Coturnix japonica: one gene and its partner. The protein of the gene in region 1 purifies or fractionates together with the protein of each later gene. This does not show direct contact. Links are inferred from orthologs where the notes say so. Each region holds a gene or a part of one and is shown on either strand. Other genes may lie near its edges.

Region 1 (7,345 bases):
ACAGGTGATGAGGGCACTGCTCTTCTCCTGCTCAGCCCAGGAGAGGCAAACAGAAGGAATGCTGCCCCGTGCCCTGGTGCTGGGAAGCACTGACATGGAGCAGGGCCAGAATCAGACCTAACCACAGGGCAACACAGCCCCCTGCGCCCCAAAAGACTCTTGTCAATCCCACCCCAGGACACACTGCCCACCTGTGGGCTCCCTGTTAATTCTCATGTTCTGAGTGTCCTCAGAAGAGCAGCACGAAGCCGTGCATTTCAGTTCCCCATTCCTGCAGCAAACTCTCCCACTTCCAGGACAGTTGCAGAAAACGGAGCTCACTTCTGCTTTCTACATGGAGAGATCTGCCCGGGGCACCGCAGGGGATGGTGGCATCGCCCAGCCCCTCCGGGCTGCCAGCAAAGGGCTGACACGGGCAATGGATGCAACCGGGTGGTGCCACCCACCCATGCGGCGATTTCACAGCCAGGAAGGAGGATAAGGAGGATAGCAGCTCCACGGGCAGCCGCAGGAAGGGGCGAGGAACACGTGGCAGACAGAAAAGCTCCAGATATGAGCAAGTCGCAGCCACCCCGGCCGTGCTGGCGTCACTGCTGAAACATTTCCCCACTCAGAACCAGCCCAGCCAGTCCGGCCGGGAGCTGCCCGGCTTTCCCAGCTGCAGCCCCGGGGCACGGACCCCCAGGGGGCCCCGCAGGATCCGTGCAGCACAGAGCCCTGCAACACACACCCAGAGCTGCAACAGCTGCGTTCAGAGCGGGGCCAGGAATCGGCTCCCTCCCTGCCCCACCGCTGGATGGGGGCCCGCAGGCACAGCTCTGCGCTCAGCCGGTCCCGCAGCCGCTGCGGCCTTCAGCGCTATTTGTCACCAAAACAAAGCTCGGGATACAGCAGAAGCTCAGCGAAATGAGGGGTCTGGAGGGGCGAGCTGAGATCACACAGAGCCCCGCCGTGTCCCCGTGCCCATAGAGCCGCGCTGGATGCCCCGGCTGTGCCCTGACTGATGCAGGCTGTGCTGGATGCTCGGAGCCTGCCGAGGTGCAGCTCACACTGCTCTGCTCGCTACGAACAGCCCCAGCAGATGCAAAACAAAGGAAAACGCTGAGCTGGTGGCTTTCAGCCCCGCCGTTCCTGGAGGTGAGAAGCAGGCTGTGCACACAGCCCAGCCCTGCGCTGCTCACTCAGGTGCCCAGAACCCACCTGGGTAATAGGAGTCACTGACACAGGATGAGCTGCAGATACACTGACCCTCCAGCTCCCAGCGATGGCCCCACACCTGGTCCCAGTGCTCTGAGCCTGTCCACCCTGTGAGCTTCCAATGCAGCCCTCCACCCTGCCCCATGTGCTGGCCACCACCAGTGGGATTCGGGCCATCCCCATCCCATCCACCCCCAGCACAGCACAGCCTGCACTCACCCCATCCCACAGACAGCAGCTCAGCATTCCCACCCATGAGGACACAACCCCACGCCGGGGTGGCAGTGCAGCTCCCCAGGGCTGCAGTGCTCCCTTATCTTGCAGTGGCTGCTGCCAGGGGAAGGAAAGAGCCCAGCTGAACAGGGAGGGACTCCAAGAGCTGCTGCCACTGTGCTTTTTTTCCATATTGCAGAAGTTCTCCAGCTCACGGTTCCGCCCTGGGAACATCCAGACCCACGAGGTGCTGCAGCACCACGGTGCCATTTGGGACTGGGAAACTGCAGCCAGGACCAGGCACAGTGTGGGAGTGGGGACCCTGTGTGCAAGGATGGCGTGTGGCAGCGGGCACAGCCCAGTGCTGTGAGCCCACTGTGCCCAATGACACTGGGCTTTGGAATGGAGAAAGGCTGAGGGGTGAGACTGTGTTATCTCCGGGTGCTGCAGTTCCCCATTTTCCTCTCCAAACCCTTCACCAACGCAGACCTCAAGACAGGACCCCTCACGTTACACTGTGGGTATTCCAGCTCCTCCACACCTCTGCACAGCACAGCCATCCTGGGGCTGGGAGCAGCCCCCCATAAGGTCTGAAGCAAAGCCACCAGCCAGACCCCAGCTTCCCCAGAGCTTCTCCTCCCTGTATCCCCACTATTGCTTTCATCCCCTCCACATCTCCAGCACTGCTTTGCCCCCCCCGGCAGCTCCCAGTGCATCCCAAGCATTCCCAGCTCTGTGCCCAGGAGGGCAGTGAGGAGATCCGTAGCCTGGAGGGAAGTCAGAGCAAGACGCAGATTTACAGGTCCTGGTTCCTGGCCCACGTTCAAACCACATGAAATCTGTTTCAAGGCTTTCTTTTCAGCCTGTGCATGTGCAGAGGCATGTGCAAAGCAGTGCCACTTCCCTCACACCAAGGTCACAGCACCAGAGCAGGGCTGCACTGAGCATATGGCCCACACCAACCAGCTCCTTTTTCCCCTGGCCAAGCAGACTGCAGAGCAGACTATCACACAGCATCACACTCCAGGGAGCTGACCCACACTGCTCACCCTGCATCCACACTTCCGAGAGGGCTTTGAGCTCAGAAGCTCTGAGGAAGTGAGGTCAGCTGGGAAATGGTTCCCAGAGATAAAGGGCCAAGTTAGAAACCGTGCTGCAGGACGGATGGTACAGGAAGCAATAGTGCTGCAGATAGCCCTTGGTGCTTCCCCTGCCATGCCTGGGGTGGTGCGGGGCAGCAGTGATGCACGGCTGTGCTTCCCCTTAGGCACGTGGACTGAGTGCTCCAGCCCAGGGCTTGCTGCAACCCCTTCTCCATCCAGACGTGGCACGTGCTCACTGGTCATTAAAACATGTCATTGTGAGCCAGCCCGGAGCCCATGTCCCCTCTGTGCCACCAGTTTGTTCCTTGTGTATGCAGCAGAGCCTTCACACATCAGACTCTGCAAATTACGGCCCCTTCCCTCGCTGTGCTGGGACAGACAGACCCACCTGGGTGATCTTGAGTCACTCCAGGACAATGTCATTCAAAAGCAGAGGTATCTGTAGGGCATCTCCATCACACAGGGAGCACTGCAAGGCCACTGACAATCTTAACAGCGAGCACTGCACATCCCTCTGCTGTGATGGCCCATAAGCAACCCCAGCTCCAAAATCACCGGGCTGTATTTTGGGGAAGCTCCTGAGCACGAGGTGCTCAGATAAGATCCAAAGCTAAGAAGATAAGGTCAAAGCTTGGGAATGGGTGCAGCCCACAGCCTGCTAAGGAGAGGTGCAGTGGGATCACAGACAGGCTCACAGTGGCACAGTGCTCCCCAGGGAGCCTCATCTCAGACACTGAGCAGCAGAGGTTTGTCCATGGGCCAACCATTGAGCCAGCACGAAGCAGCACAAACAAGCAGCAGCAGCAGGGGATCATCCTGCAGAAGAGTGCAGGGGAACAACAGCATCACACTGCTCCCAAGCACAAGGTCACCGGCATCCCACCACATGCCCCATCACATCCCTGGGGACAGGGGTGAGCACCAGCACGGAAGGAGGAAAAACACCAAACTGAGTCTTTTGTTGCCACATTCCCACAGCTCCGTTTACATCCGATGCTGTTGGATCAGTGCTGTCCCATTCCCAGCACTCAGGCACTGAGCACCCTACGGGCTCCAAACACCACTGAGTGGGGGAACATCACCCACGGGAGCTGCTCCCTGTACCCTCAGAGCTCCCGGGCAGCAGAGAGAAGGGACGGTCAAGAGGAAACCAAACTGCCGTGGGGCTGAGCCGGGGACCGAGCGCACTGCATGGGGTCACGGTCAGCAGGGGAAAGTCCACCCAGGCCCCGGCGTGGTTCAGACAAGTCCCACGGTGCTTCCTCGCGGCGGAGACACGCACAGCAGCCGGGCTGCTCCGGGAGAACCTGCCGGCCGGGTACAGCCCTTCCCCGGGCAGCGCGGGGCTCTGCAGCCTCCCCGGGCGAGGGCAGAGCGAACGCCCGGCGGAGCGCGGACACGAGCCCCGAATCACCGACGAGCGAATATCGAGAGGGAAACGGAGCAGGAGACATCAAAGCAGGGGGGCGATGAATATTTCATGCCCCGGCCTGCACACAGCCCGGCTCTCCCTGCTCTGCTCTCCCAGTGTTTCCCGCAGCCCCCGATCACAACAAAGGGGAGTGCGGGCAGGCGGGGCCGGACCCCGCAGCTCCCCCCTCCGCTCCCCCGGCGGGCCCGTCCCCATCCCCCGGCAGCCCCGCAGCCGGCCCCGGGACCCCGCGCACTCTCCGCCGGACCCACGGCCGCCCCACGCAACCCGGAGCCGCCCCGCCGTTACCGCGGGCATTACGGAGCCGCCCCGCTGCCACCCGGGCATCCTCCACCGCACGGCGAGCATCTCCCGCCGGCCCCGCAGCCGGACCCCGCGGGGACCATCCCCGCCGCCGGACCCCGCGCAGCCCCCGCTCACCTCCCGCGTGTGCGCCCCGCGAGGCCGGACCCCGCCGCTCCCCTCCAGGGCTCGGCCGCGGCTTTGTCTCCGTGCCGGGGGCGCGGCCGCCGCCCCCCGCAGCCGCCGCCGCCGCTCTGGGTGCCCGCACCGCGGGCCGGGCCGTGCCGGACGCTCAGGGCTGCGCCGCCGGCAGCATCGCGCAGCACCGCGGATCCGGAGCGCCGCTTCCCCGCCCCCGATCACCCCTTGTACGGGGTGTGTGTGTGTGTGTGTGTGTGTGTGTGTGTGTAAGGGGGGAACAGCCCACAGGGAGGGAAAAAAAACTAGGAATATGGCAGCAGTAAACCGGAAACGGCTTATAGGAAAAAAAAAAAAAAAAAGAAAAGAAAAATCGCCGAGCCCCTCCCCTCGGGTTTTTTTTTTTTTTCTTTTAAGGAAGAAGCCTCCGGGCTGCCGGGCTCGGCGGGGTGCGGAGCAGCGACCGGAGCCGCCCCCGCCCGCGGCTCTACCGACGCACCCCGTCCCGGAGCCGCCCGGTCGCGGCGGGGCCACGCGTGGGAGCGCGGCGCGGTTCTGAGCTCGGCTCCGAGCTGCCCGCCCGGGATCGGCGAGAGGAGAGCGGTGATTTGCACTGAGGTTACAACCCGGCTGCTTTGCGGTTCGCTTTTATTATAGCGACCGGGGCACGCAGCGAACAGCCGCTTTGTGATGGATTCTGCGCCCTCCTGCATCCTCGTCCCCATCCCCCTGATCTCGGGGAGGAGGCAAAACTTCAGCGCAGGGGAATAAACAGGGAAAGAAGAGCGTGCCGTGAGCCTCCCCGTGGAGCCACGAGCGTGGACGTCGTGCCCACCCCTCGTGCTGCCCCTCACAGCGACCAGAGCGGGGGCTTCTGGAAACTCCAGCGCTTCAGAATCAGTGCGGAGGGTGACTGAGTTTGTTTGCAGTGCGCACCCCTCCCCCGGCTCATTTGAGTTATTAAAAAAATATTTCCCGTGACACTGCCGAGGGCCAACAAACCCATGAGTCACCGGGAGTCATGCACACACCGAGCCGTCCCCACCGGCCAGCGCATCGCACGGGGGGGCCTTCCTGCCAGGAGCAGCCTGATCATCGCTCCCTGCATGAATTGGAGGCTGCGGCCCCAGACTGCAGCCTGGTGTCCGTGGAAAGTCCTTTCGGTGTTGTTAATTCTACAGGGCATAGCAGGGCATGGATGGATGCTGCACCCACAGCGGCTGCCCCAGCCCCACAGCCCCGCAGCCTCCTGCAGGCAGCACAGCCCCGGGCACCGGGCTCGGCCCCAGCCCCGAGGTGCTGCTGCACGGGCTGAGCCCAGACCCACATTGAAAATGGCCACCAGACACTCCTGGCATCCAGCCTCTCCTCTTTGGGGCTCTGGCTCAGCAACGTGCCCTCGCAGCACCCTGGCAGGGGCCCTCCCGGCTCACGGCTCAGCTCTGTGCCCGAGGCGCGTTCACCTGCAGCCCTCCAGCTGCCCTCTCCTCCTGCCCCACTCCCAGCCCTGCTCTTCTCACCATCCCACCCATGCTCTTTGTGAGGCATTCCACTCCCTTCCCTGAAACCTCTTTCTTCTTTCTCTTCACCTTTCAGTAGCACCAAAAACACACGGTGGGGGGGCAGGGCAGAGAGGGATGCAGAGGCTGAAACTAGAAGTGAAAGGCAGGTGCTTTCCAATTCCAAGTCACTCTCACTGAGTACTTCTCCTGGCTCACCCATGTGGGCACATCTCGATTTCTCGTTACAAATGCACAGCTACTTTTGTGCTCTTTTTTGTTGACCTTCAAGCAATTTCATCAGGAAAAATCAGAACAGCTGCCCATGGCTTCCCCCTTCAGGCATGCTGCACACAGACGGTGTGTTGCAATGCCTGGTGACACCGGTGCTGCTGCGTTTCTCCCCACAGAGCCCTGAGGCTCAGCCCCACAGCTGTGTAGTGCTGGGGAGCCCCCAGTGCCCCATGAAACTTAAAGTGGTTGGTTTGGAAGGGAAATAAAGATCGTTGAGCTCCAACTCCTGCCCTGGGCTGGCTGCCCCCACTGGATCAGGCTGCCCAGGGCTCAGCCAGCCCAGCCTTGGCCATGTCCATGCAATGGGCACCCATGACTTCTCTGGACAAACCATTCAGACCTGTTTATGAGCCCCATCCAACCGCTCCGTGGGGCCCCTAAAATCTCTCTGCAAAGTGAGAGGGGCCCTTTGAGGTCCAATGCTCGGTCGGTCCTGACCTCCTCAGCCCAGCTGTGGATTTATAACAAAACAGCCATTCATCTCTGGCCAGCTTTATTTTTAAGCATCCCTTTGGCGAGCGTGCATTAAGTCTTGTTCCACAGATTCTGTTCCTGAGGTGAGCTGCGCTTTGCTCGCTGCAAATTCCAACTATATTTGTAGGAATTATTACTATGAATAACACAGTGGTGGTGTTTGAGTCGCAGACAGATGCAGCAGAGCCTTTGCTCTGATCTTTTCAGGAACTCAAGCAGCTTTTTGCCATCCCCACCTGGAGCCATTGAAGCGTGCAGCCAGGAGCTGGACTCAGTGGTCCTCGCAGGGACCCTCCAGCTCAGGAATTCTATCATTTTACAATCACTGAGCTTGGCAGACATGCAAAGAGTGTGGGTGTGACAGCAAGCAATTAGCATGGCCAGCATCAGGAACCCATGGTTATGAGCTTAGGGCTGGTTTAGGTTTGCCAAGCGGGGGGACTAATGCTGGGATCCTTCTCTCCGGCCTGGAGGCTCTCACACAGCAGCATGGTTCTGTGTTTGGCAGGTGGGTTGGACCCAGGCTGTGCAGGAATCAACTGGGCTCTGCTTCAGCTGCAGTCTGAGGGCCTTTGGCTGCAGCCAGCTGCTGTTCACACAGGGTACAGAAAGCTCCAGAGCCACACAAGGGCCTTCAGGCTCCGAGTGAAACCCCACAAGCTGAGGGGAAGGAAGTGAACATCACCAGAGGTGGGGACTGCACAGCACTGATG
Region 2 (7,345 bases), on another chromosome or scaffold:
TGCCCACGGGCGGGCTGTCCGCGCCCTGCCCCGTGATGCTGTAGTACACCTTGGACTCCTTGTCCTTGTTGGATTTGATCTGGCGGCGAGGCAGGGTGCTGAGAGGGGACACCCAGGGGCTGGTGCCCGTCCCAGTGACACCACGCTCAGCCCTCGGCCCCGTACCTGCACCAGCCTCATGGGGTAGGGGCCCCGGTGGTTCTCCAGGCAGCTGATGGGGGGGATGACCCAGTCCCTCTTCTGCCTCCGGAGGAAGCCGGAGTCATGCTCGGGGAAGGTCAGCACAGACGGTGTCATGTCCTGCAGGAACAGCAGCTCATCCTGGTGCCTGTGGCAGCACAGAGCAGCCCAGAGGCACCTGCTGCTCTTGGCCCGAAACAGTTGGGCTGCAATGACCATGGGGACTTCACCTGCAGGTGTTGGTGGTGGTAGTGGCGGCGGTGCCTGTGCCTGCCCACAGTCACCCGTGCTGAGTGCCTCTTGCCCGTGGCATCCCGTGCGTAGATGATGAAGCTGATCTCCCTCCCATGGAGCGTCAGTGGCCGTTTTGTTGAGACGACGCCTTCCATGTTCACCTTGAAGCGCGTGTCAGACGGGACATACACGGCCCACGGCCGCCCGCTGCAGGCTGCAAAGCTCACTGCGGGCAGGGGAAAGCGTGGGCAGGGTCACCCCACCATGCACAGAGCATCCCCATGCACCACTGCATGCACAAGAGAGCCCAGGCACAGAGCACCCCTGTGCACTGCAGTGTGTGCAATGCAGCCTGTGCGTGATCCACTGTACCATCACAGAACCATCCAGGCTGGGAAACACTGCAGACATCCCCCACCCACCCCACCATGCCCATAACCGCATCCCTTGGTGCCACATCCCCACAGTCCTTGAACTCCCCCATGGACGCTGACTCCACCACCCCCTGTGCAGCCCATACCAACACACTGCCACTCTTCCAAAGAAATTCCTCCTAATACCCAACCTCAGTGTTCTCCATCTTTGCCATGTGGGCATGGTGCATCCATACAGAACATGCCTCCATGGCACAACGTGTGGCACACCACTGCTGCCCTGCCCGTGGCTGTGGGCTGAGGGTGCTGTGCTGCTGCTCCGGCTGCTTTTCAAATCAAAACAAGGGCTGTGTCTGGCTCAGATCCGCTGGCACGTGGCCACCCCAGCAGCCAACTGGGATATGAGTCTGTGCAGTGGGGAAGGTGCACCCAAGGGCGTGAGACAGCAGCTGGGGCACCCCTGCTGCCCAGGTATCCATACAGAGCTCCATCCCCTCTGCTGCTTGGGGTTCTTTTGGGACAGATGACACCCCGGAGTCACCCTGCTGGGTCACAGTGTGAGCTCCAGCACAGGCCATGCAGGTCTGGCAGTGCTCACAGCAGGGACCAGCATACCAGGGCTGAGGACAGCCTGGGGGGGACCGCGCAGCTCAGCAGCGAGCAGCAGCATCACATGAGGCTGGGCCGCATGGCTGGAGCTGCCAGAACAAACGCTCCTTTGTCTGGGGATGTTTTGTTTGAGCCGGCAGCACTCAGCCGGGGTCCCCCTGACCCGCACAGCCTTGGCTCCCACATGGCCGTACAGCACGCGGGGTACCGCCATGGCCCAGCAATGTGCCCGGGCTGGGAAGCACGGAGCTGGGCTCCCCAGGGGCGGCCGTCACTGCCGGGACCTGTCCCAGCGTCCCGTGTTACATCAGCCTGCAGGCAGCCCAGGAATTCAGAGACAACATCGAGGGGGAGGTAATGGCAGAGCTGGGCCGGGGGCTGCTCGCCCACCGCCGTGCCGCGCTCCCTGCGGGGCGATGCCAACCCAGGCGGGCCAGCCGGTGATACCGGCTGTGCAGGGCTGTGCTGGGGCACGCCGGGCGCTCCCGCACCGTGTGCTCGCAGTGGGGAGGTGCCCCATCCCTGCGGGTACCCGGCTCCTGGCACTTGGCCGGCGGAGCGCACCGTGCACAGCACCCGGCCCCGCACCGCTGCTAAGCTCCCCCTCTCCCCCTCTCCCCATCTCCCCCTCTGCGCCCGGCCGTGCACAACCTGTTTTTCCAGCTCCACACTTGAAAGCCAGCCCCTCCCAGCTCCATTCTCCCCGGGGCACTGAGCCAATGGGGCCTCGGCAAGGCGTGGGGCAGGGGTCGAGCTCAGGGGCTCCTGCACTGCGGGAGGCAACTGAGTGCCACTGATTTCCTGGACCTTCAAATGCGTTTGGCCGTGGGGCCCAAACCAGCGAATTACCGGCTCAAAGCTGGGGTGGGGAGGTGAGCCCTCCACACTGGGCTGGGACCTGGGGACACCAAGCTACCCCCATTCTGCTGCGACACAGGAAAGTGTCTCACTGGGGCTGGGCACAGGGTGAGTCACAGGCGCAGCCAAGTGCCACCATCCCAATGTTCTTCCCCATCCCCACGCAGGTTGTGCAAGTGCGGCTGTGCCGGGGCGGAAGCTGGTGGCGGGGAGAGGCACACGTCAGCCATGAGCAGCCAGGGTGAAAGTGCTGCAAGAGCGCAGTGAGCCACACGTCCTGCCAGGGCCTGACATCACCGAGTTTCACCGTGACTTCAGACTCTCGGTTTTCTCCCATTTGGGGCTGATCCGGGACCTACGCAACTGGGAAGCGTCACACCTGGCTGCACACCCGTGTTCCTCCCATAAGGTGCCATACCCACACAGCCGAGGGCTCCCTCAGAGCTCCTGCCTGGGATCCACCATCCCATCCCCTCCCTTAGGACCCTTTGCTCAGTAAGTGAGGCTGAGCTGAGCCCCAGGGATGCGGGGCAGGTGCTGTCTGTCCTTCCCTTGGGGTGTGGGGCAGCAGCAGCCCCAGCACCCAGCAGAAAGCATCGTGCCGTGCAGCTTTTACAGCCCGCATTAACATGGAGGAAATTGCTCCTTCCTCCACCAAGCCCTTTCATCAGGCAGGCAGCTGCAGCGCCGTTGGGGAGCCCAGAGCTGCACCCACCAGCCCCTGGAGCTCCCACTGATGTTCACCACCCGAGCGCTGTGCGGGGCCAATCCAGACCTGTCTGACTGCAAACACAGCGCTCGGCTCATCGGGTAATTACAGGGAAGCTCATCACGCTGCTCGTGCTGAGCCACAGATGGGGCTTTTGAAAGGCTGCACGGCACGGAGGGCACGGCAGGATGCTCTGTGGTCAGGCTTTGTGGCAGCAGCGCTGGCACGCGCGGGCAGACCCAGACAGGACGCCCAACTCCCACACACCCCCCCTGTCCCCAGCCCCAGACGGGAAGTGCTGGTGCTCGGCAGCGGGGATTTCCAGCTGGGAGCCATCGCTGTGTGCTGGGTTAGTGCTGCCTGGCACACAGCTGCCCGTCACCCTGATGTCAGTCACTGCCCCAATGGGCACAGCCTGCTGGCGCTGCACAGCCCGGGTAAATGATTAACAGAAAGTTCACAAACATGGAATGCGTTGGTACAGTGCAGGGTTCAGCTCCCAGCCCCGATACTCCCCAGCGTGGGCGAAACTCAGACTGGAACTCCTGAGCCACCCTTCCTAAGAACCACCACCCGCACCCACGCACGGCTCTGCACCAGGACGGGCGCTCGGCACTTGGATGTGGGCTTGGTGCTGTTGTGAGCTGGGTGCTGATGTGTGCTGGGTGCTGGGATGTGGGCTCAGCACAGGCTCAGGGCCGGGCTCCATGCCCCACACCCAGCCTGCCGGCCCCAACAAGCTCTGCCTGAGTCAGCGCCGCCCGCCTCGGTGCTGCTGGGAGAGGCGCCCACTGCCCCTGTTTGCCCCGGCACCTGCACCACCGGGCTGCTCGTGGAGCTGGGACACGTAGGCACGGCTCCGTGTGCCCATGGCCACCAGCACTGAACTGGACATAGTGCAGCCGGCCCTGACAGCACGCAGGGCACACGGGCACTTAGCCATGGCTTTGTTCCCCATGGCCACCCTCGGTGCCACGCACCCAGCCCCCCATCCAACCATATTTCTATGCCACTTTGCCACGCACTGAACCCGTCCCAACAGGAACACCTTCGTCCTTGGTACCAGCCACCTTCGGTACCACGCTGAGCCTGTTCCCGTGTCTCTCATCACCTCTGGTGGCGCACACCCAACCCACCCCCACGACCACAGCTCTGTCCCCCCAGCCACCCCCGTGCTCCTACCTCGTCCCAGCTCCCTGCCCGCCGCCACGCTGTCCCGGGGCACGCTGAAGGTGAAGGTGTCTGCAGCAAAGCCGGGCTGGCAGGGGGCTGCCTCGTCGCACCGCCGGCCGCACACCTGCCCGAGAGAGGTGTCAGCCCCGACCCCTTCCGTCCCGTTCCGTCCCCTCCGTCCCGCCCGGCAGCCCCGCACCTGGAGCAGCAGCAGCAGCACCAACACGGGGAAGCGCTGCGGGCCGGGGGAACCCCACCGCCGGCCCATGGCTCAGGGACCGGGCCGGTACCGCCGCGGACGGAGCTGCCGAGCGCTGCCTCCGCCAAGCGCAGGTGGGAGCGCCCCGCCCGCAGGTGTTGGCCCCGCCGGGCCCCTCCCCGCCCCGCTCCGCCTCACCGGGGCCGCCCCGTCCCGCCCGCCCCGTCCCACGGCGCCGTCCACGGGCGCGAGGCCCACGGGGGGACGAGGGGGCGGCGGGGTCGGTCCCTTCTGCGAACTGCGGCGCTGCGCTGGGGCCGGGGTGAGCAGCGACACTCAGTGCTACCGCCGCCCCCGCGGCTGCAGCGGGGCAGAGTCTGCACACAGACACTGGGGCTGCTCGTACCGAGCTGGGACAGAAGCCGAGCCCTGGCCGTGGCACGGCAGCAGCAGCGCTCCATTTCCCCCTTAGGCGCCGTGCTCAGCCGGCGTGGTTAACGCAGTTAAGTTGTTTAATGCACTTATTGCTGAGCGCCAAGCGGGCAGAGCCCTGGGGATGGGCAGCGCTGCTCCCTGCACTCCCCATCGCTGCACACAGGGGATGGGGCTGAGCCAGCCCCGGGTGAGGGGGGTCTGCTCTGAGCCCTTGGGGTGCACAGAATCACAGCGAGACAGAGAAGGGTCTTAAAAAAGGAAAAAGGAAAACCACATCCTTTATTAAAACTTCCCTAAAACTTCTACAGCCCCAGCTCAGCCCGCTGGTACCATCCTGGTACCACAACAGTACCACCCTGATACCACCCCGGTACCACAACGGTACCACCCTGATACCACCCCACTACATCAAATTCATAGTTGCTTAAAAAAAAAAAGTTGAAACACACAGGAGGAAGCCAAGGCTGCTTCAAACAGCACAGGGAGTGCAGGAGAGGGCAGCGCGGCCCCAAGGCACGGGCAGGGTAAGGCTTTGGGCAGCAGCAGCGCTGGTTGGGGGCTAGTCATCGTCTCCCCACCGCCATAGGAGCTCCGCCAGCTTCTTGAAGCGGTTGCCCCACTCGTTGAGGTAGTCGTAGTCCTGGTCCTGGTCGGAGGCGGAGGAGATTGAGGGAGCTAGCGAGGTGGCTCCGACCTCCGCCTCGTAGTCGAACACCAGCAGCGGAGTCGTAGGGGGGGGCCGTGGGTCCGTGTCAGCCGCCTTCAGGTTCTGTAGGAGGGCAGAGGAAGGGCTCACCCGCTGCTCCCCCCGCGCTCAGCCCTATGGGATGGGGACGCTGTGGGCAGCCCAGCAGTGCGGCGGCAGAACGGTCGGGCTCACCTCATCGATGAAGTTTCCGATCTCATCGGGGTTGGCCGGCCGGGGCGGTACTGGGGGGCGGCCATCAGCGGTGGGGGCCACGTCATTGCGGATCACCTCAGGGCGGGCGTCCAGGCCGCGGTGCAGCTGGCATCAGGTTCGTGAGTCCTGCGTGGGGATGGAGCAGGATGAGGCTGACACACAGGGAGCACTGCTTTACCCCCCATCCCCAGGCCTGGGCCTCACCTGGTCCTCCTCACCCCCACCTTCCTCCCCATAGTAGAAGATGTTGTCCCTCGTGTCATCCTCAGGCAGCAACAGCGGCTCCTTCACCACCTTCCTCCTCCTCACCAGGAGAAGCAGCAGCAGCAGCACAACTGCAGGAGAGGAGCTGCATCAGTGGTTCATCCCCACGCCACATCCCTGCAGCACCCCCACACTCCGAGCTGTTGGGCACTCACGCAGCAGGGCCAGCACAGCGCCCAGCACGGCGAGCACGATGGGCACACCGGTATCCACCCGTGGCTTCTGAGCACAGCTCTCCACCCTGCCCTGGCAGTCACACACTTGTGCTCTGATGACAGTGACCTGGTCCTTGCCCTGGCGGTCGAAGAGCCGCAGGTAGACATTGTACAGGTTCTGCTCCAGGGGCTCCGTCAGCCACAAGGCAACGGTGTCACCTGTGCGGGGTAGGTGACAAGCCTGACTTCACCATGTTGGCTCACGTGGGACCAAGTGCAGCACCACCTCGAGTCCCCACGTTACCTCCACTGCCAACCTCCACCGCCCAGCTGTCCCCAGAGCCGTGGCTCAGCTCTGCACGGAAGGGCCCGGTGTTGGGAGGCAGGTCCCGGTCGGTGATGGTCAGCACCTGGGGCACAGGGCTGCGGTTACAGATGACGATGTCGCGGGGCTCGGGCTCAGGGCCGTGGTCATTGACATCCAGCAGGGTGAGGAGCAGCGTGCCAGTGCCTGTGGCGGGTGGCAATCCTGCAGGGAGGAGTGGGGCTGGTAAGGGACCCTCGGCAGCAGGACTCCCATGCTGGCAGAAGGCGTTGTGGGCAACGCAGGCACCACTCCCTGCCCTGGGGCTGAGCGGGACGCAGCCCCCGTGACACCAGCAGCACATGTCCCTCACGTGGGACTGCAGCCTGATGGGAATGTGGGAACAAGGGCCCTTTTCACAGCCGCCACACTCACCGTCATCCACAGCCAGCAGCACGGCCATGTAGGTGCTGTTCTTGGTGAACGGGGACTCACGGTCCAGCTGTTCCCGTGCTGTGATGAGGCCGTTCTCAGGGTGCACGGCCAGCCAGCCCGCGGGGTCACTGCCCATCACATACCTGTGGGCACAGTAGGTTGGTCCTGCGGGGCATGGCAATAGGGATCCCTCTGTGACCCCAACCCAGCCCTGCTCACTTGATGCGCTGCTGCTGGGCTCTGTCAGGGTCCTGTGCTGTATAGGAGGCAAGGGGCTGCCCCAGCGGCACATCCTCTGGCACTTGGGCCAGCCGCAGCGGTGGGTCGAAGGCAGGAGCCTCATTCACATCCTCCACATTGACCGTCACTGTGGCTGTGGCTGTGGGCAGCTTGATGGCAAAGGGGGCTTCATTGACCACAGCCACATGGAGCACAAACTGCCGCTTGGCCTCGTAGTCCAGACCCTGTGGGAGGGAACAGGATGGGTAGCACTGCCCAGGGCTGGTGGCTGTGCT

The links. The genes of interacting proteins can lie anywhere in the genome.
Region 2: the proteins of SRC (region 1) and cadherin-1 purify together in Homo sapiens (affinity purification with western blotting; 5 studies listed by BioGRID and IntAct, with this or other methods). This does not show direct contact. The link is inferred for Coturnix japonica from reciprocal best matches to the Homo sapiens genes SRC and CDH1.

The regions. Positions count from the first base shown.
Region 1 is NC_029535.1:4,437,272-4,444,616, reverse strand, and holds the start of SRC (proto-oncogene tyrosine-protein kinase Src), read right to left. Parts: upstream 4,630-7,345; 5' UTR 4,366-4,629; intron 1-4,365. UniProt on the Homo sapiens protein: Non-receptor protein tyrosine kinase which is activated following engagement of many different classes of cellular receptors including immune response receptors, integrins and other adhesion receptors, receptor protein tyrosine kinases, G protein-coupled receptors as well as cytokine receptors.
Region 2 is NC_029526.1:16,823,809-16,831,153, reverse strand, and holds the start of cadherin-1, read right to left. Parts: upstream 4,477-7,345; 5' UTR 4,406-4,476; coding exon 4,337-4,405; intron 4,262-4,336; coding exon 4,147-4,261; intron 641-4,146; coding exon 411-640; intron 301-410; coding exon 166-300; intron 80-165; coding exon 1-79.